3 linked regions of the Xenopus tropicalis genome follow. The protein of the gene in region 1 purifies or fractionates together with the protein of each later gene. This does not show direct contact. Links are inferred from orthologs where the notes say so. Each region holds a gene or a part of one and is shown on either strand. Other genes may lie near its edges. The genes, in order: tbc1d15, ubac2 and ubxn8.

Region 1 (7,223 bases):
GTGCAGAGTGGATGTGCGAGTATGCACTAAAACCAACTGTGTGTGCTGTACCTGGGCTGGAGCACTGGCTCCTGGTACAGACACAGAAGAGCACCGATTCAAGTGTAGGGGAGATTTGTAGGCCTGCATTTATCCACAGGCCGAGAATCTGCCACGTTTGGCATGAGCCTAACTATTCGTAACATTATAACACTGTATCAGCAGTCAGATCTCCTCCAGCCAAGCCTCTAATTTCCCCATCATGCATATTGTACAATTAACACACCAAACATTAAAGCAAAGGAAAAAGCTGTGTGAAATATCTGTACAAATCATTACAGATTTATTTATTTACAGTATTTACTGTACATTTAATACATTTAGCAATTTATTTTCAAAACACATAACCAAAAATCATGCGGGACACTAAATGCATCTCAAGCTGAAAATGCACGATTTATTGAGACTGTTAAATACATCTGATTGAATCACCAGTGTGAATATAAACCAATTCCAACACCAAAGTAACAATCTGTTTTCATATTGTCCTCACACCATTCTGCAGCAATATGTGCAGCTTTGGGAGCATAATTTAATGAAAATAATGCTTTGCTTAATAAAAATTATTTCCTTTAGGTTTTTTTTTTTTACTAACATAGGAAAATATTGCAATGCTGAGTATTAACTGAAAGGAGTAATATTCATATGCAGTTTGGTTACAATAAATGTTTAAATTAACATTTAGCTCAAAATATATCAACGTTATCTCTTTAACATTAAATGAAAGCATTTATAAGGATAAATGTACTTGGGAATGGCAAGGGAAAGTTAAACTCAGTAATCAGATTCCTTATTAAACCTTAAGTAGAATTAGGAAAGTACTAGAGTCCCGGTCTTTTCTGAACTATTCTTGTATAGAAAGATTTATGCATTTTAATTGCTCGTGTATTATTTGTATACATTATATCTGGAATCCTCAGATACTTTCCTATGGAATATTATATTAGACGCTGTTGAACACTGCAAAATGTGATTACAAAAAACAACGTAGTTGAGTCCTCCTTAAATGCACACAATTTTCAGTAATCTGTTATTACTACAAAGTAAGGAAACACAATTCGCAGTTATAAACAAAACTTCTGTTTGTTGTACTTTTTTTAGGAATATAAAACACATGATCTTCAAGTTGCTTTATTTTCATTGCTGTCATGTAAGCCACTAAAAATAAATATTTTCCAGTTTACAATGTAAACTTGCTTTCTCAGTGACAGGCTTAAGGAATGACAGAAACAGAATAGAGGTGGTTTGTGTCCACTAGAAAAATAATTTGTTCATATCTTTCCTTTTGAAAAGCTCTAATGAAAAGTTGCTGCTGTAGATAAAAATGTTTGAAATTCTCCAAAATCGTCTTACGTGAGTTTTCTTCAGTGAGTCCCCCTTGGTTCACAGGAATTTGTGTTATCAGGCAGAAGTTGGTGTGTGAACACTGTTTGGCAAAGTTTGTAGGGTTGCAGCACTTTTTGTTCCATTGGCAGCAATAACAGGCACTGGGACATATTGAGGTGATGATTTTTTATGTTTTTTGGCAAGATTTTCTTCACTTGTTGCTTCATTTGGTCCTGCAACACCATTGTTCTTTATGCCAATAACATCACAAACATTCAGTGGTAAATCCTGCAACAAAAAGCAAAGCAGAACTTTTACCAGGAACACTGTGGCCATCAGGTAGGCATCATGGCATTGTGACTGATGCTATTAGCATGGGGGTCATTTGTACATTAACAATCATAAAAAAATCAAGATGAAAGTCTATTTCTAGGTTGCACGTCAAAATCAAAGATGTATTTGAGCACCTAAATGGAATGAATATATTGTTGAGCACATGCTAAGAAGGCATATATCCAAGGTTCTATCATCAAACTTTTACTTTAACTTCCATTCTTGATTTTAGATATTTTTGTGTGCCTACGGGCTGCACAGCAACCCATTAAAACCTAAATTATAGCTTTCTGGTCCCCCTACAATCTTCCAGGTGCTGAAATGAACAAAGCACAAAAAATTTAGTAGCATGGTACTGTTTTACATAACATAGACATCCTTGTTTTTGGTACTCACAGTTATGGCTCAGATAAGGCCATGGCCCATAATTAAATGCTAATTAATCAAACAAGGGTGTTAAATTTGCTGCTACCCACTTAAACATTCTATAATTAATGGTATTTAAGGTCTGTCCTAAAACCTCAATCACATCATACAATGTTGACCACAAAAACATAAAGGGCATCACAGAGACATATATTCTTCATAAAGCAAAACAGCATTTAGATTGTAAGCTCTGGTGAGCAGGGCTTTTTACCTCTAGTATACCTCTTTTTACCTACATATAGATTAGTTGTTACATAGTGCATGAGGTAAAAAAAAAAGAAGACAAACCATTGGACCAAATTCCAAAAGGTCAACTGGACCAGTCCCTGGATCAACTCTGTAACAAAGTAACTTCAGTTTTCTTGTGTTTTCTCTTGTTACAAAACCATTTTTTTAAACAAATGTATCTGCAAGTATAGCTGCTTCATATGGGACCTTACCAGGGCTTTTTAAGCGAAAAATGTGTCCCTTATTGCTGCTTATTAACACTGCTTGCTACATTTAAGATTATTATTCATGAGTAATTCAGGGTACAACACAATCAAGGATTAACCTTAGTTCCATTAAGGTATAAGTCGACTGCATCTTTTTAAATCTCAAATAAATATGACCTTACATTAGTCAAAATGAAATCTCATCTACTACTCAGCTAGCCCAAACTAATAACAGGGATAACACTTCTTGGATGTATTTAATTGTCCCACTCAGTTTTGCAGGTTTGTGTCATGCTTTGAATGCATTTATTCAAGTTATTAATAAAAAATTTAAATTAAAGTGGACCCATAAGGGAAACCTGTGGCATATCACTTATTCGTCCAATATTAGACCAATTAGAGAATGTATCATTGATGACTACAATTTGTACATGGTGAGAGATTTCGCTAAAAGATCCCAATAACAAATATAGACTGCTTATTCAGAAACTGTAAATAACATATTTCCTTTTTTTCTTTCTGCCAGACAATACTTGGTGTGGTACAGAGCAACCCAAAAACCATAAAAGCTGTGATCATGGCAGTCAAGTGCTAGAGAAAAGTCAACCTAATTTTTCTGGCAGTTAATGAACCTAATAATAAACTTTTTAGGGGTTGTTGTTTGCAAGTTAAGTGATAAAATCATTTTCTGTTGTTACCTTCTTGTGTGCTGAAGTACCTATAAAGACCAGCATATATTTAAATACACAAATACCTGCATATATTTAGCTTTAAATGCACAAAGACCTGCATATTTTTAGCTTTAAATACACAAAGACCTGTATATATCTGGCTTTAAATACACAAAGTCCTGCATATATCTAGCTTTAAATACACGTCATGTAGCTATATGGTATTCAGTATTTTCAGGTCAAACCCTTTAATGATCTAATTTGTATAATACATTTTTGTTAAAAGCTGATATTGCTGACTATTGTATAGTTTCTACATTAAAATGTAATCAAGGCATGCAGCTCATATGTTTTACCACATCTAAAACAGTACAAAAAAAAAAAGACCTGCCATTTCTATCCCTCCAAATTGACATGAAATATGCAGCCTACATTAAATTACCTTGCACTTCATCATCTGCAAAGAAATAGCTTCAGCTTTGCTTAGAACATCGTTAACATCCAGCTTCATGGAAAGTTCATTGATGTGCTAAATAACAAAAATGACAATAAATAATTTCCGGAGTGAGAAGGCAGCTGAGCAGTGATTTACAATGATCTTGTAGACCCAGTAAATTTAAATAAACATTTTTCGAGCCTAAAGATTTTGAAAAAATAACAGTGCTGGTGTTGATAATGGTTACAGTTATAGAAAGAGATTGTCTTTTTATTTAAAAATGTATGTATTTTAAACGTATACTGAAGATGTTTGAATGGACTGGCATTTCATGACCACAGGGTGTTGTGTGCGCATTAAATAGCAAGTAGCGCAATTACAGCCTGGGAGAACTTAGTGAACACTGTCGCTACCCTACATAAACTTACGTATGAGACTAGGGGCGCACCTGATAAATTTGATAGAGTTTGGAGTCCTTGGTGTGACTTAGAGGGTTACTGAGGAATTCCACACACATATACATTTTATGACTCACAGAGTCTTCCCACCTCTTTTGACCCAGCTCGGTTGGTTGATGGACCCAATATGCTGGAACTGCTGTCAGATTCCATACTCTGTAATGTTATACCCATTCTTTTAATGTCTGTAACAAACCATGGGGACAGAGTCTATTCTAATGGTATAATTGACCTGGAAAAGAAAGACTAGCGCTTTATCCTCTTGTATTGTAGGATGTGTTACCTTCCAAAAAAAAAAAAAAATAGCATGTAGCTTAACAAAAATAGAAAAGGGCAACAGAGGTATATCTAAACCCAATTTAACTGGAGATGTTTTTGATTTGAATAAATCAAATTTTAAAAATATTTAACCAAATTTCATTTTGGCACTGGTGCATCCCACTCAGCAATTATTTTGTTTTTGATTCTTAAGCTGGTCAGACACAAGTTGGGGGGGCAGAATCTACCCAACTATTCTATTGGAAGGTCAACTGCCAACATCTATACAATATGGCAATAAATTTGGATTTCTAAACTTCAGTTTCAACTTGGGTCAGTTTATTTTATCACTCAGAACAGACATAGGGATGATATAAAATAATTATTAGTCATCTTTATATCTATTTTGTCTGCTCAGTTTTGGTACAATAACACTAGTGGCTGCTTAACCAAACTGCCATAATTCTAAGACTAATGACTCTACGTACCTTAAGAATTTCATTAAATCCAAAATGTTGCTCCATAATTACTTGTTTTTCTGATTCCAGGATAGCACAGCAAATAAGCAGATGAAAATTCTGACAAGGAAGATCTGTCCATATTACCTGTAAAATATAACCTATGTTTATTAATATATGTGGTAAATGTCACGGTAAATAGGGCACACACCAAAAACTCCGTAAATGCTTCAGTGCCAAGTATGGAGAACAGTATATAATCGAGGAATAGACACAGCACTCACAGGACTTTGTATTGAAAAAATGTGATCCTTTATTTGTGCAAAATCGATTTTTCAATCGAATAAATATGTGAAATAAAATTTTCTGCTTCTTAAGGCCATAATTTAGAAAGCACTGGAATACCAATCTGATTCAGTTATTACTGAAATTTCAAGCAATATAAATACTAAAAGGAAGTTTAGAAACACATTAAGATAGCAGAGAAGAGTTATGGGCTATGACAGATGGATTGGATGCTCTCTTCAAGCATATGTCAATCTAGTAACTGTATGGCAAGCGGCAACCTATTTGTAAGACAGATGCTACATGAGTGCCCTCACCTGGAGCCTAGCACTAAGGACATTTTATGCAACCAGAAAACTGCTTCTAACAAATCAGAACACTGCTCTCTTTCTTTTACACAAAGTGAAACATTATGCATGTACTCTATACAGACAGTGATAAAGGTTTTTTGTTTTTTTTAAAACAAATATGGAGTTTCTAATAGTTTAGAAGGCAAATAAACTTACATATAGATAATGAGGTGACATTAGTTCAGACAAAAATCTATAATAGCAAAGATAAATATCAGAGTGAACAGAATTGAAGCCATATTTCAATACATCCATTTGTGATTCCCAGAAGGGAAAGATATGGCTGTTGATAAAAAATAATGTAAATTTTTTGCTATAACCACCCCACTTAAATCTACCATTACTTACCATGATTATTAGCTTCATTACCTCTGCAACATAAATCTTTAAACCACACTTTATAATGTCTTCTTTTATAACATATGAAATGGAAATCTGTTCCTATAAAACACCTTTGGTACCCATGGACATTTTATTCACTACAGTATGGGTAAAACACTACAGGGTGAGGCAGGTTATCCAATAATTATCCCTAACAGCACAGGATACATCTATATAACTAATGCGGGAGCACAGAAAACATAAAAGCCTAATTTATTAACACATCTGTACTGTATTAACACATCGTAAGACAAAAAATGAAAAAGCAAGGGTTACCACTTTTTTCTGTCAATAATACCAGCCTTTGGGTTGGGAGCAGTTTGCAACATCCTTTTGGGGAGAGGAAAAGGTGAATGAGGCCAGGAAATGGGCGTGGTTATAGGCGGAGCAGAGGGCAGCTCATGATTATAAAGAGTGATAGGAAGCGGAGAGAGTCGCTGAAGGGAGGGATTTATAGGGCATTACAAATTTACCAGCAAGTACATTGCTGGTAAATTTGTAATACAGGTGCTGGCCCTAGCTGGTGATTAAACAACTAGGCTGGTCAAATACTGGCTAGGTGGCAACCCTACTCACAAAGGAATTAACATAGAGCAACTGGAGGTGACTTTGGGCCATTTGATGTTTGTTATACATTTTCTACTTAACATGAAAGTTAAAATGGCTTTGTATATATTCATATAAACAGGGTCAAAAGTCATTTATGCCTCTCTTCACATGTAACATAAACAAGAGCCGATACAAAAATGGTGATTTTCATGCACCATGTTTCAGCATTCTGGTGTGCACTCACATTGTCATATTCTATTTATTTATATTTTTACCCTTATATAAACAGTATAACCTCGGCATCAGAAATTCTTAAAGAGGTAAATCAAGCTTAAATTTTAGTAACATTCTGAGACAATCTAAGAATGATCTTAATTTCTTTTTTAGGGAGAGGGTTTGATTTTTAGCCTAAGAATTTAAAAGAGTAACAACTTCTTGGGGTCACTGATCTGGCATCAAGAAAGTAGATTAATGCTGAACTAAAAAAAAAAAATCAAAAATAATAACAATAACAATTTCTTGTTCGTGTTGAACCGTGACATTTAACCCTTTCCCTGCCAAGCACGTAGCTCCTACGTGCTGGAATAAAAAGATGTTAAATGCCAAGCACGTAGGAGCTATGTTTTCTTTATCTTGCTCTCGTTCTCTGCGCTCCCTGCTTAATCCGAGTGCAGGGAGCGAGCGCAGGGTAAAGAACCCCCTAGGGAACGACCTGAGGGGGGTAAATAGTGGCCCCTGGGGCACAATTGCCCAGGGGCCCCATGGGAAAAGCCTGACACGTGGATGTTATGTGGCAGGCTTTTGCTGCTCTGCCCCCCC
Region 2 (7,844 bases), on another chromosome or scaffold:
TAAATCAAAAGGAATATTTAGGACCATTTTCTTGAAAGAAAATTATTTTGTTAAAAAAGGTGCAACTAATATAGCAGCAAATATGACAAAACAGCCTGAATTGCCCCAAATCCATTTCAATAAAAGCTAATGGACATTGTGGTACACAAAAGCAACCATTGCCAGAAAACATAAATATCTCCACTTCAATTTAGCCAATGCCGACAGGTCCACTGAAACTAAAACATTTAAAGATCTCTCTTGGCTCTCACTGCATAACATTCACTGAAAGCCCAACTTATAATCACATGATTATGTTTACCCACAAAAGAAAGTAAAGGTGGCCATACACGAGGCGATTTCGCTCGTTGTGCGATGAACGATTATATCGACAAACGATCGTATGGCGATCGAGTTCCCATACGATATGCCATCCACGGGCAACGATAATTTGGGAAAGATTTTGTCGCATCATTATCGTAAAATACCTACGATCGTACATCTACGTACGATCGATGTCGTTGACTTCTGCTGCTGGCAATCGTGACATGCGCAGAGAACAATCGTTGAAAGACAAATGTCTGACACTCACACCAACTGGCAGATTTTATCGTTAAACGACCAAAATTTTTAAACCTGGCCGATCGATTTTGGGGACGATAATGTCGGCTCGTTTAGTGGGCCGACAATCGTTCGTACACCACCAACTATACGATAACTTAACGATAGCATCGGATCGTTCGGGAATCGGTCGTTTGTAAGTAAAAAATCGGTCCGTGTATGGCCACCTTAACAGTAATTATGAAACAATTGTTTTTAGATCTGATTCCATTTGTACCATGTACCACCTCTGTATTCATTTTATTAAATTTACATAGCTTAAAAATAATAAGATGGCAAAATACAGTTAAAATATAGCTTAATATTACATTTAGTTAGCTGGAAGGCAAGATTTCCTGTAGGCTGTGAAGTTTTAGCTACATATATAGGTTGTGGTTTTCTGTTGTGCTGCTACGGACCGTCATCATTCAGAAATAAGTAACATCCTTTTTGAAGGCTATAAAAGTTATAAAAGTTTCTCTGGAATCTTTGGGTTAATGTTCCATATGACAAACATGAATTTCATAAACATACTGCTACAGTAAGGCCTTAATATTGACTTTGCTTACATTTGCCCAAGCACAATAAATCACTTAAAGGAGAAAGAAAGGCAAAGTCACTTAGGGGTGCCAAAATGTTAGGCACCCCCAAGTGACTTAAAACGCTTACCTTTTACCCCGGGCTGGTGCCCCTGTTCGGAGAGAACAGCACCAGCGCTTCCTTCTTACTCTTTCTCGTGCACGCGCATGCGCAGTAGAGTGAAAAGCCAAACTTTAACAGAGAAGTCGGCTTTTCACTCTACTGCGCATACGCCGACCGCTGGCATTTTAGGAAAAGGAAGCAGGAAGTGCTCCGCTACAGGTACCCTGAGCTGGTGCTGTTTTCTCTGAACAGGGGCACCAGCCCGGGGTACAAGGTAAGCGATTAAAGTCACTTGGGTGTGGCTAACATTTTGGCCCCCCCAAGTGACTTTGCCTTTCCTTCTCCTTTAACAGCAGTGCGGTAATTAAGCAGTGTCAGCAATTTATTTGAACAAAGTATAATTGTGAGCACAGTATTAGTCAACTTACATGAAAATCGTCTTTTATTGCTTTTATATTATAGAGAAACAACTCTTGTTGCTGTTGAAACAAAAATGTCAACACAATGGAGAGAAAGCTTGGGATAAGTAAGAGTCCTTTGGACAGCGGGGCTTTATCTGTAGATAAAAACACAAAAACATGTACTTTGCACACAATACATTTTCTATTAGGATAATTATTATCCTTTACATAGCAGCAAAATATTATACTGTGGCTTAATGAATATTAAGTAGGGTTAGCAAATTTTCTTCATATGGACACACTGCTTACTAAGTAAATTTTCAACATTATATGTTCTTTTAGTTCAGGGACATTTTGTGTGAAGAATTTTTTACTAAAGAAAATTAAATTTTTTCAGGACATCGTAAGCTTTCAATATATGTATGAAATAGTGTGTAACGACACGTTGGTAAAAAGATATATAATTCTTAATATATAAAACTAGCATACTTTTCATAATAAAAGTATATGTTCTAGAAGCATTAGCAGTGAGCACACTTGCCCCTTGGAGTGGGGGAGCTGACTTGTTTAAAAGAAATGGGGCTATTTGGCAATAGGGACAGCATGTGGGAGATTATTTAAAAAAATGACCTAACCCTTTAAAGTGCTTTTGTGTTTCTTATTATTCTGTTTATTTTGTCCAGCTTATGTAGAGAGTGCCTTGCTCAAACAAAAATTAAAGAAATCTCTAAGAAAAAAAAGGCTGTGACTCTGGAAAGAATCAGATACATGTGCATTCAGGGTTTCATCTTAATAATAAAGGAGGTTGCAGTTACTGATTAATTGCATGCATTTACATATATTCTAATTTTAAAATGCTTTTGTATGAATGTTTTGTATGGGTTTGTGGTTTCCTGTAAGGGTATTTCCAATAGCAGGGACCTCATTTTAATTATTTTACTTCTCATTTTCAAAATGTAAATTTGCCCAGAAAAACAGGAACCAAAGATGTTCTTGAAGGTCAGTGCTGTAGTAAGTAAGGTCAAGCTGTAAGTGCACATTTACTAAAGGCTACATGCAACCTGGAATCACAGACCCTTTTTGAAAGCTGTTGCTGCACACTGCTCCAGATTAAAAATCTTGACATAGCTGTCAGGAACACAGGAAAGTTCTCCTCAGTGTACCCCGGTGCTTACACGTTTTGAACAACACAAATGCTAGGGACATTCTTAGGCACACCCATGTGCCACCCACCACTTCCTAAATGCAGAGATGCATTCTAGGAGGACAAAGTTCTATACAGGCCCAGATTTGTGGTGAGGCCACAAAGGCCCGGGCCTAGGGTGGCAGAAATTTAGGGGCGACATGCTGCCCTGCCGCACCAGAAAATTTTGCCGGCATATGGAGCAATGGGGAGAGGACAAGCATAAACTTTAGCGCGTCCTCTCCCCAATGCTCCATATGAGTTGTGATGCACATGTGGGGGGCTAGGTAGATGCATGTGCGATCGAGGTGGGCGGGCGGGCGGCCATAGGGGGCAGCCTCGGGGCGCCCCAATCACAAATCTGGCCCTGGTTCCATACAAAGAAAAATAAATCCAGATAACTTTAATTCATTAGGCAATGGAATGATGTCCTTTTGAGAGTCTAGAAAACAGCATATCATAAAAAAAATATTAATATATTAATGTCTAAATGAAAATTATTGGAAGGCCATCTCCCAGATACTCCATTTTAATCAAATATAATTCAACATTTTAAAAAGTATTTCCTTTTCCTCTGTAATAATAAAATAGTACCTTGTAACTTGATCCCCATCTAAGATATAATAAATGCACAGTGGAGGCAAAACAATAACACAGGTATGGGATCCCTTATCTGGAATCCTGTTATCCAGAAAGCTCTGAATTACGGAAAACCCGTCTCCCATAGACTCCATTTTATTCAAATCATTCAGAATTCTAAAACTGATCTCCTTTTTCTCTGTAGTAATAAAACAGTACCTTGTAACTGATCCCAACTAAGGTATAAATAATCCCCCCAGATGCTGAAAACCCAAATATGGCACTACAAGCCACAATACTGGGCTCGGTTGAAGCCATGGAAAACGCCCCATACCGAACACAAGGAGACATACAGCATACTACCCCTATCATAAAGCTCACGCATAGACTGTGGCTCATGGCACTGCGCAAATTAGGTATAGACCCACCACTGCTTTCACCCAGGCTCCCCCTCTGGAACAATAGTAACCTAATTCACCTTACGCAACTACCTCAATTCCAAATCTGGCCTATAGCAGGTATAAAAAGGCTCAAGGATATACTTGAGGAGAACTTGTTCCCCACATACACTGATCTTAGAAGCAGGCCCTTGCTGACTGATGCTAAACTGTACCAATACTTACAGCTGAGGGAGGCATTCGTGGACCAATTCCGGGAAACATCCCTAGTATATGAGAATTACCTGGCCTAGGATCCAGGATTTCTGGATAGACATCACCACACATATGTCAAGTCACCTTGCCTATCCTCCCCTCCTCTCATCATACGCCTGCTTACTCGGCATCCTGGAGGACCAAGTAGGAAGCATTGCCTCTAGACTATTTGCCCGATCCCTACTCTACTATGCTCGGAAATGTATTATACTTCGCTGGATGGGACCCAAACCCCCCCGGAAAAAGCAATGGATCAAGCTCATCAACGGAGCCCTACCCTCCATTAAATTGACATATCTTGCCAGAGGATGCCCAGCAAAGTTTGATAAAGTATGGCAACCATGGCTGGATGTGGAAGGGGACCCCCTGCCTACAACAGCAGACACCCCAAATTTACCATATTAACCCCTTAAGTCTCACTAACCCCAATGCGAGCAAATGTGCAAACTCCCTACCAACCCTTCTTCCCTTCTCCTTTTCTCCCTTTTCTCTCCCCCTCTCTTATATTTGTTTTATTTGTTTGGAAAAAAAGGAAAATAAAAACATTTAAAAAAAAAAGGTATAAATAATCCTTATTGGATGCAAAACAATCCTATTGGGTTTAATTAATGTTTTATTGATTTTTTAGTTGACTTAAGGTATGGAGATCCAAATTACAGAAAAACCACTTATCCAGAATACCCTTTTTCCCAAGCATTCTGGATAACGGGTCCTATACCAGTATTAGGTTTCTTCAATGTTTAAACAATTTTTTAGGAGACTTAAGGTATGGAGATCCAAATTACAGAAATGTCCCTTGTACTGAAAACCCCAGGTCCTGAATAACAGGTCCCATACCTGTACATTTATTGCTAACATGGTTTCATTTAACAGCTTCTGAAAGGTTATATTCCAAATTTACATGGCAAAATATAATACTCATACACACAGCCACAGCTCTGTGACAAACTTTACTACTTACAGAGCCCGCTCGAACCAGTACTGGCAATCATGATGGCTTTTCACCTGTCCACAGCAAACGTCAAAGCAAACATTGATCACCTTCTGTTGAAGAATAAGTTACCGGGATAGGTACTTCCAAAAATACAAGTATACACCTTTTACAGCCCCGGTAATAGGTAAACTACCTATAGTAGATTGCACTATACTCCTGCATAGCATCCTTAGGATTTAAATCTGCAAAAAATGTAAAATAATTGAATTGAAAACTTGAAACTTAACCAAAATTTGTAACTCAACATAAGCAAATATTGCTGCAAAATAATGGAAGACATGTTACCAGAAAAGAAAAGGAAAATATTTGCAAATCTCAGATTGGTACTACGGTCAGCCTGTCTGCATTTTCAGGCCAAAGCCTACACAGTATAGCTGCACACAGGCCGACCCAGTGCCTGTCTGTGGAGCTACACATAGCTGCGGATGAAAGCAGATCAACTTTTTTTTTTTTTTTTTTTTTAAATGTGACTGTGCCCTAAGTTCCCACAGCCTTCTTAATGTTGCACATGGCACAGGTACTGCCCTCATATGTCCTCGCCCTCAGCTTTATCTAGTTTTTTTTATTTATTTAAGTCATTCTTGAGGACTTCCACCCTCCTCTAAGTTTGGCATTGGTTCCAATGTGTACCAAGACTGCTGAGTCATACCTATCCCTAGCACCTCTGAATAGTCTCATTCAACCATATGCCAAACCAGGCAAGCAATACACAGTTTGTGTGTAGGGTCCTTGCAACAGATAACCCAATCCACAGGGTGTTGGGTCCCAACGCACAGGTGAAAAATCCTTGTATTATATACACACTTACGAAGACAGGTGCTAAACTGACAAAAACAACAAGTCAGATCTTTGGTGTCATATTATACCTGCACCTGTGCAATTTAGCATCTATGTTTGTAAATCAAACATAGTATGTCCTGTGTAACGCGGAGGTGCTATAAAAAAATAGGTTTGTTCCCATGTGGAGAATACAGGCTCCAAATTATTTTAGTCCTCAACTTCAGTCTACCTATAAGTTTTTTAGACCTATTTGCCAACATTCACTTTCAAATAAAGATGCAGATTGTGCTGACAAAGTCTGGCATAAGCATGTAGTTTGTTCTGAATTCAACCCCCTAAATAGAAGAGATTGGGCAGCAATGACATAGCCTTGCTTTCATACTAATGCTGCACTCTATCCCAAACTCTCCATTGAACCACATGCAAAGTGCATTACCCTCCTAGGAAGGTCAGAGGTGCCACTGGCAACCTACAAAATCCACCAGCTCCCTATTAGAAAAGTACCTAACCTTTGCATATATATGAATAAAGGCACTAAGGCAGAGTATATCAAGCCTAATTGTTTCCTGCTGTAAGATAAAGCTAAGACGCAGGCGATCAGTATCCTATTATACCCACTACTTCTCATGTGAGTACTTGGTGTATTACTCAGCTGTAAACATACAGAACGCCTGCCTGTATAAATTCACAAACTTTACGTATCTCTTCCTCTTTTCCAACTACTGTGCTAGTCCTTAGAGCGCAAACACCGTCCTGATACTATAAGCCCAACAACACGCACAGGAGGTATATCTTAGCGATTACCTACAAGCAGGAAGCCATTGCAAGGAAACACATATCATTAGACTACTACTCCCGTCATGCATTGCGAAGTACAGTTACGGGTCGCGATTTGGGGCATTTAAGGTAATGAGAATAGAGAGATCGAGCGTAGCAATGCAAAGAATTTGCGCTAATATTCCCATTTACCAATTACAGGAGTTAAATGTGAACTACATTAAGCTACACTGTAGCCGCCCCCACACTGGGGCGCCTTATAGGACGGGTAGAGTGACCCCTGGGATGTACCCTAATATTTACTAGTGGCGATCCCTACCCAGTATCCAGCGCCGTACAGATAACTTAGTCCCATTATAACCACAGTAAAGCAATAACGTTAATCTCACACTTATCCACCCGTGTGGCATTCGGTAATACTGTTAACCACTTAATGATGTGACCACTGAATTAACCATGAGTGCCCTTAAAAGATTTTCATCCACTTAAAGATTTAACTACTTTAACATTAGTGCTCTCAAGTTAATGCCAACCAGACTTGATAGGCGGTGAGTATCATTAGCGGGCTCTTGTACCTTGGTACATATCTTCTTGGTTTCTTGTATTCCCTTATACTTGGTATTTTATTTAGTCTACTTTCTGGTTTCTACACCTTTTGTGCATAGTCACTTCAACTCTTGGTGTAATACCACCGAAGTTTCTCTGTAAATATGGACCCACTTTTTTAAACTGGATCCACTTGATGGCGACCCACCCTCTACTTCAGTGATCCCCAACATTTTATACCTGTAAGCCACATTTAAATGGAAAAAGTGTTGGGGAGCAAAACAAGCATGGAAAAGGTTCCTGGGGGTGCCAATAAGAGCTATAATTGGCTACTTAATAGCCCCTATGTGGACTGGCAGCCTACAGAAGGCTCTGTTTGACATTATACTTAGTTTTTATGCAACCAAAACTTGCCTTCTTACTAGAAATTCAAAAATGAGCACCTGCTTTGAGGCCACTGGGAGCAACATCCAAGGGGTTGGTGAGCAACACATTACTCATGGGCCACTGGTTGGGGACCACTGCTCTACTTAGTTTGTACTTAGTTTATTATTTTTCATGTAATATATTACTGTATACCTATATGGCTTTGAGAGTGCTAATAGGTTTATATAGTTCTTCCTGACATACAAAAAGAACTCTCCCTATTAATACTTCCGTACATATTGAGTATCCTGGCACTTTAATCTGATTGCTAGGGCCTTGTGTCC
Region 3 (7,223 bases), on another chromosome or scaffold:
TCAAATCAAATTGTTAAATTGAGTATGAAATTCTGTCAATGTTCAATGTCATAATCAGGTTAATTTGCATGCTGAGAATGTTCTAAAGCCACGTGAAGAACTGAAGCTTCAAAAGAAAAAAGAAAAATATGGTAAAACACAACGATGGACATTATCTCAAGGCTACAGGCTAGGTGTAAGTTTGTTCTTTCTTTAATACATAAAATCATTGTCATATGTATTTTTGTCTGGCTTTTGTGAACTGCCAGCATTACAGAAGTTGCCATCTCACCACACAGATAAAAATGCATAAGGCAGTTCAGTACTGTATATTGTGGATGCCCTATGTAAGGCAAGTGTAAGGATATACAGACAAATGAGGTCCTCATTCTCTGCATTAAGCTAATAAAAAATATTAAAAAATATGTAAGTCGCCGGCGGGATGGCAGACGCGGTGGCGCGATTTCGCGCAAATCGCCGAAAAAGACTCGCGAGGCTTTTTCGGCGATTTCCCAAAATTGCCCCGCCGCGTCTGCCATCCCGCCGGCGACTTACATGTTCGCCGGTGGGATGGCAGGGGGAAGGCAACTCAGGGAGATTAGTCGCCCGCGAGCAGGGAGTTTTCCCGCGGGCGACTAATCTCCCCGTGTACCAGAGCCCTTAAGATATTGAGATTTAAATTACAGAAAGAATCCTTATCTGTAAAAAAAAAAAAAGAACCCTGGTCCCAAGCATTCCTGATAATAGATGTTATTATGTTGTTAAATGTTGTTATTAAGATGTGATACCAACTTTTTACATTTATGCTCTTAAATGTCTTGGCAGACATGATATGTTTATGAATTATAATATGCTCCCACTTTAGAACATGACTATAATTCTATGAAATGGAATTTAAGCCTCAAATATGATGGACTCAAGTTTTACAACTAATATATCAAGTTCCTTGCTATTCTTTTTTATATCGCAAAACCTTTTCCCAAAAAGCATGATGATGTGGGAAAAGATTTTGTGATTATATGAGAATATAGAGCTTTTTGGCCAAAGTTCTAAATCTAACTCTGCCCAGAGTTTAAAAACCACTGTATCTACATTGAAATATAGTCGTATCATCTGTGGGCTCATTTCCAGCATGCATTGTGCTTGTTAAGAAAGAAAACTTTGGAAAAAAAAAAAATGGAAATTCTGCAAGGGCACTTGTATCTGCCTGCTTAAAATTTAGTCCAGGGAGAATGTTCACCCTATAGCTGGACAGTGATTCCAAACACAAGGCTAAAGTAATACTAAGTAGTTCAAGAACACAATAGGTCTACAATGGCCAAATCAAAGCCCTGGTCAATAATACTAGTCAATTAAGTCTTAATTGCTACTAGTAAATCAGAAGCTAATGTCTAATGTTTTCTTTTTTTAAACCAGGAGGCTGAGGAGGGTGTGAATAAATGCAGTGATTCAGCCCATGGCACAGAGAGTGCAAATAATGAGGCTTTAAGGAAAAGAAAACTACCAGAGCAAGTCACCAAGCCCTTGCCAAAAGATGAGCAGCCCAAACCTAGAAAGGTATTTTCTGATTACATTCAGTGTATCATATGAAAACATAAGAAATATATTCTGAATGTTTTTGTCAGATTTGTATGTTTTCTGCCATCAAAGCAAACATAGGCAATACATAAACAAGTCTGATATGTCATTTTCATTTCACGCAGAGTACACGTTACATATATAATGTATTGCCGTTCCCTTTTCAGTTGAGGCACTGACCATGTTGCTGAATAGGTTACTTGACTTTTTGGGTGAAGGGGTGAGCCTAACCACTATACTGGCAAGTGATACTGCAGGGTCCTAACCGTTCTGGTCTTCTCAGCGGGCTTCTGGCTGCTCCAATTACTACCATGAGCCTTACTCTCACTACTAGAGTAAGCTAAAATAGAATCCTTCATGACACTAACTACTCCTACTGAGGCCTCAGGCTTTCCTGCACCAACCTCCCACTCCAGCAAGTGAGGTCTGAAGAGACAAAGAACATGGTTACTTCCCTTTTTGAAGACTAGGTGCAACTAACATTCCTGGCCAATCACAGAACTGCCAAGGAACCTGGAAAAGAAAACTGCATCCCCACCCACCTCTGAAATAAACCCAGCTCTTGGCTGATTTGCCTTCCTACATAATTAATGTTCTTTTTTGTTTGTTTTTGTTGTGTACACTTTAGGTGTAACACATATATTGGGCTCTCAAAATCTAATTCTTGCAAGTATAAATCTGCAGACGATGGAGCAAGTTTAGTAGATCTTTGGTCTAGAAATACACTAACCCAGAAATAGGTATGCCAGATCAAGTCACATCTCACCCACAATTGAGGCTTATGGGATCACTAAGTGCATGGTTCCAATTGCCCCATGCCCACCCACCATGCCACTTTCAAACTGCTTCTAAGCAGAGTAATGCTTGCAACTTTAATGCTCTAAAAAGTTCTTACAGCACTTAATATATTTTTGTCTATTTAAAGGTCATTGCTTTGCCAGAAGAACCTTCTGAAGTAGGGGATGGGGTAAGTAACATTTATGGTGCTTTTGATTTTATACTTATTACAATATTATTAAGGCCTAAGTGCTTTTCAAAAGAAGCTTAGGCAAATTAAGTGGCATCCAGGGTAATGACTATCCTTTTCACTGGTTGCCAAATGAGAAACAAAGGGCTTTTCTGTTAAAAACAGTGGCTGCTTATTATGCTTCCCATTGCCACTGCTACTCGGCAAAAGTTTTTAAATGTTCTTGTGTGCGGTAGCTTTCTGGGGCAGTGACATAAGCTGTTGCAAATTTGCCACTACTACTAAATAATCATCACATATGGCACCATTTCAGTAACTCAACATTGTAAATGGAACACTGACAAATACTAACAAATTCATTTTGGCATTTTACTGCCAATAGATTTGCCACATTAGTGCCACCTAGAACAATATATTTATTCTGCAGAAACCATTACCATACCTGAGTAAATCGCTTTAGAAGCTTTCTCCATTTGCTTAAGATAGCAGCTGCCATTTTCAGTAGCTTCCTTCCTGCAGTCTAGCCCTTTTAGTTCAGATCACACATTCCTAAGGGATGGGGTGGGAGTTCTTCGCATTCTAGTGGGAGTGAGGAGCAGGAGAGGGGAGAGAGAAGAGAACTGTGCAGACTCTGGCCACAGGAATTAAGGATGTTTCTGGGAGAGGAAGACAGACACTGGAACATCATGTTTACAAAAAGAGAGACCAGAAATCCTGTGTTTCTTTTGATAGTGCAGCATTACTGTTAGTGCTTATGGCTGTATTTACATAGACATTTCTGATAAAGCTTACTTAGTTTTTACCTTTTTTTCTCCTTTAAACCATTTACAACAACATTTTTAGTTGAGTATAATTAAAGAATGTTGCTGTGTTGACAGAGTAAGTCATTATATAAGGGCTCTGGCACACGGGGAGATTAGTCGCCCGCGACAAAACTCCCTGTTCGCGGACGACTAATCTCCCCGAGTTGCCTACCCCTGCCATCCCACCGGCGAACATGTAAGTCACCGGCGGGATGGCAGACGCGGCGGCGCGATTTCAGGAAATCGCCAAAAAAGACTCGCGAGTCTTTTTCAATGATTTGCGCGAAATCGCCCCGCCACGTCTGCCATCCCGCCGGCGACTTACATGTTCGCCGGTGGGATGGCAGGGGTAGGCAACTCGGGGAGATTAGTCGCCCACGAACAGGGAGTTTTGTCGCGGGCGACTAATCTCCCCGTGTGCCAGAGCCCTAAGAATTCAGCATTGTTAACAGGCATGCAGATTGGAACTCAAGAGGCTATAGATTAGGATAACTAAATAGACTTCTGCCAGTGAGTATGAAAAATAAGGATATTAGGGCATCTGTTAGGGCCCTGGTACTGCATTTTCAAGTCTGTTGCTGAGTTAAGGACAATCCTTTGCTTTGGCACACCTAGGGTATTGAAAAGCAGAGCTTCACTAAAATAGCATCTTTATTTAGATCAGCTAAAAATAAAATCCTTCTGGGTTATATTAGCAAGCAGGCACTTACTCAAAGGCACAAGTACATTATGAGAAAATACAGTCATGTGTGTGCAAGTGCACTATACAAAGTGCAATTACAGATAAAATTCACCATGTTTTTTACCCAGAATGGAGCATTTTCTCCCACACTTCCTGGTCGATTGCTGATGATTGCTGCGTCCATTTTTGCATTACTGCAATTGCAGCTGTGGTGGTAAATTAGCAATGATGTTTGCTGATAATAATAATCAACAAACATATTAGTGCGCCGAAACAATACCAATAGCAATAACACATGGAGAGGAGCACTGTATCGGGCAGGACTGAACCCAGGAGCAACAACTGCAGGTGGCGAACAGTGACACGAGTCACGCGAGTGACTCTCGATAAGTGCACCATATATTGTGTTTGTGAGTGTATCAGTTAAGTTTTTAATTGCATTAAAGTAAATATATTTTTACACATATGGCATTTGCCTCACAGTAAGTGTATCGAAAGAGAAGGGAAACGGATACGTTGTGGAATGAGTTTAAATTCTTTAATGCTGGGTATTTACCTATTTGGAGTGGTTCTTAACACTATCTATCTTTCTGGGTCAATGAAAGTGATATTATTGGATGTTACACAAACCCAAGTGGTCTGTAAGTAGAATAACAATTGGAAAAGGATATTTTGCGGACAAGAAGATGTGATATAAGTAAAGTAATCACTAGTGATTAATGGATACACATATGGAAGTGCATGTTGGAAAGTAATTAACAATATTACACTATATATTTTTTTTTCTTTTCCTCATCATTGTCACGTATAAGGCAGAAGAGGGCACGTCAGACTATATTTTGACCTGGGACACAAGGTATCTGAAGTGAGGAGCAAACACTGGAAATTGCCCTTCACTTTAGGCCAGTATTGTGAGAGCCACCTCCAGCTATCAATCCCTATGTGGAGCACAATGCCATTCCTTTTAGTTTTCCTTGCTATCTTATATTCCTCAAATGTAATCTAGCAATGCTAGTCCTATAATCTGACTAAACCGCATTGATGGGGTCCCTGTTCTTTGACTTTCATTAGAAGTGTTGTCTTTCTAGGGCAGAACTCTTTATTGGGCCTTGTGGAAACCAGACACATCAAGCTGGAGAGAGGATGGAAGGCCAAAGAGTAAAAACCACTGTTTTCGAGATCACTATAGTGATAACTAATCTATGGGCCAATAACAAAGATATGTAAATAAGGTAACTTAGATACACAGGCTTTTGTCTAGCAACTAGAGGAATAGCAGTTGTAGGGGATTTACAACATAAAAACTGTTAACCCTATTGGTCCCCACAATTACTTATGGCAGGTTAAAGCTGGTTTTCTGTGGAATGTCATGAGACCACACCCCTTAACAGCAAACACATGAAAAGGGAAAGTAAAGGAATGGAGCTGGGCTGGGAGCTGATGAATCTGCATTTGTACATATAACAGTAAAGCAGCTTGTTGTTTATATCCTCATATACACAGCACTTTAGGCTCATTTGCATTTGGGTTTGTACTGCTCACCAGCAAGCTTAGATCAGCTGCCTGCAATTTACACATGCAGATACAAACCTTAATTCAATATCCAGATACAGGTGTAACAAAAGAGTGTATAGAAGAGAATTCCTCCTTACAGGTGACACATCAATTTAAGCAATATTACAGACCTCTGCACAGGCAACTATGTGTGTAAAGGCTCCTGTATGTGGGATTCACAGACACCTCTCTATGGGGGGAATTCACAAAAGTGGTGATATTGAGACAAAATAAAAGTGGAGATAGATTTGCCGGAATTTCCACCATATTCACAAACCTCTGTATCCACTTTTGTGAATTTGTCTTTTAAACAGACAGTTTTCAGATTTTGTCATTTTACCGACATTTTGTATGAATTTGCCTTTAGCTCTTAGTAAATGTGTCGGTGCCCCCAAACCCAGTCCCACAGCTACAGGAGCCTCAGGGGAAGGAATTTACCCGCAGGATTTGGCATTTCACTTTGGGGCATTTCCTGAGGGGTAATTTTACTTTACCCAGGGAAACTATACATCATTCAGGCCAAGCTGGGCTTTCTATATTTCTGTGTAATTCCCCTTATGTAACGAGATGTAAGGGTCTAAATACCTTCTTCTCTAGCCCCTACTCATTACTGGGCAGCAGCAATCCGGCCCACACACCAACATGCCCAGTGATAGGGGCCCAACAGGACTAGGGCCCCCCGGGTCTTTATCCAGTGCCCTGTGGGGCCAGTCCAACCCTGTACCCCAATATCCCAGTTTGGGTGCCAGTGTGTAGGTGCTGTTTGCTGATACCCAAGATGGCTGCTGGGAACGGGTGGGGGCAATGCTGTCAGGCAGCTCTGTAGTTCTGCCCTTGCTATGGGGGCATAGATAAGTTGGGGCAAATGTCAGTGAAAATTTGCCTGGGAGGCTTTACTTTTCCTTTAAATAAAAATGTTTACAATATATTGTTCTAGGGTTAGACAAAAACTTGTCCCCTAACTATAGTCTACTAATCCCCATTAATATGTTAATGACCCCCCAATGGGGCCCCTATGAGAGGTGTAACTGAGCTTTACTCCATTTTGAAAATGTTGGGGAAAAATGTCTGGAAAAAATGTTAAAACGTCGTATAAATGTTGTTTAAACGACAAATTCACAAAAGTGTCTGCAAAAATGGAAAAGTGCGTATTCCATTAATTCAGGTGCAGGCACAGGTAGGAGGCGGATGGCGCTATTTTCGGCAATCGACTTTTAGCTTGCCAAAAATATACACCAGACGCCTTGTCTGACATTAGCCTTACTCTGCTAAAGCCAGTCCATGTAAGAAGTGGCTATACTGTTATCAATTAGCTTGCATACATATAAAGAGTGACTACAATTTTATTGCACAAACAGTAGCAGTAGTTACTGTAGTAGTTACTGTTCCTACAACAAAAGGCAAATTGTAGTTTTATATGAATGTGCAATTGGATGCCCTAAAGTTATTGTTTAACTACAACTCCCACATCACCTGCCAGCTTACTTGGCATGTATGTTTCAAATTGCTCGGTCTTTGTGGTAAATAACTTGATTGCTGCTGCTCAAAAACCAAGTGATATGTGGCTCCTTTCATGTTTTTCTTATAAATAACCAATAAATAAAGTTCCATGTGTTTGTTAGTGACTCAGGTGAGTGAGATGGAAAGTGTCAGACAATGT

Evidence for each region.
Region 2: the proteins of tbc1d15 (region 1) and ubac2 purify together in Homo sapiens (affinity purification with mass spectrometry; 3 studies listed by BioGRID and IntAct, counting the BioPlex papers as one, with this or other methods). This does not show direct contact. The link is inferred for Xenopus tropicalis from reciprocal best matches to the Homo sapiens genes TBC1D15 and UBAC2.
Region 3: the proteins of tbc1d15 (region 1) and ubxn8 purify together in Homo sapiens (affinity purification with mass spectrometry; 3 studies listed by BioGRID and IntAct, counting the BioPlex papers as one, with this or other methods). This does not show direct contact. The link is inferred for Xenopus tropicalis from reciprocal best matches to the Homo sapiens genes TBC1D15 and UBXN8.

Annotation. Positions count from the first base shown.
Region 1 is NC_030679.2:60,043,293-60,050,515, reverse strand, and holds the end of tbc1d15 (TBC1 domain family member 15), read right to left. Parts: intron 4,987-7,223; coding exon 4,870-4,986; intron 3,759-4,869; coding exon 3,672-3,758; intron 1,654-3,671; coding exon 1,441-1,653; 3' UTR 297-1,440; downstream 1-296. UniProt on the Homo sapiens protein: Acts as a GTPase activating protein for RAB7A. Does not act on RAB4, RAB5 or RAB6.
Region 2 is NC_030678.2:121,147,963-121,155,806, forward strand, and holds the start of ubac2 (ubiquitin-associated domain-containing protein 2), read right to left. Parts: upstream 5,212-7,844; 5' UTR 5,030-5,211; coding exon 4,999-5,029; intron 1,778-4,998; coding exon 1,650-1,777; intron 1-1,649. UniProt on the Homo sapiens protein: Restricts trafficking of FAF2 from the endoplasmic reticulum to lipid droplets.
Region 3 is NC_030677.2:97,448,139-97,455,361, forward strand, and holds part of ubxn8 (UBX domain-containing protein 8), read left to right. Parts: intron 1-58; coding exon 59-175; intron 176-1,395; coding exon 1,396-1,536; intron 1,537-2,482; coding exon 2,483-2,524; intron 2,525-4,137; coding exon of another isoform or gene 4,138-4,227; exon of another isoform or gene 4,228-5,066; intron 5,067-5,097; coding exon of another isoform or gene 5,098-5,208; exon of another isoform or gene 5,209-5,241; intron 5,242-7,223. UniProt on the Homo sapiens protein: Involved in endoplasmic reticulum-associated degradation (ERAD) for misfolded lumenal proteins, possibly by tethering VCP to the endoplasmic reticulum membrane. May play a role in reproduction.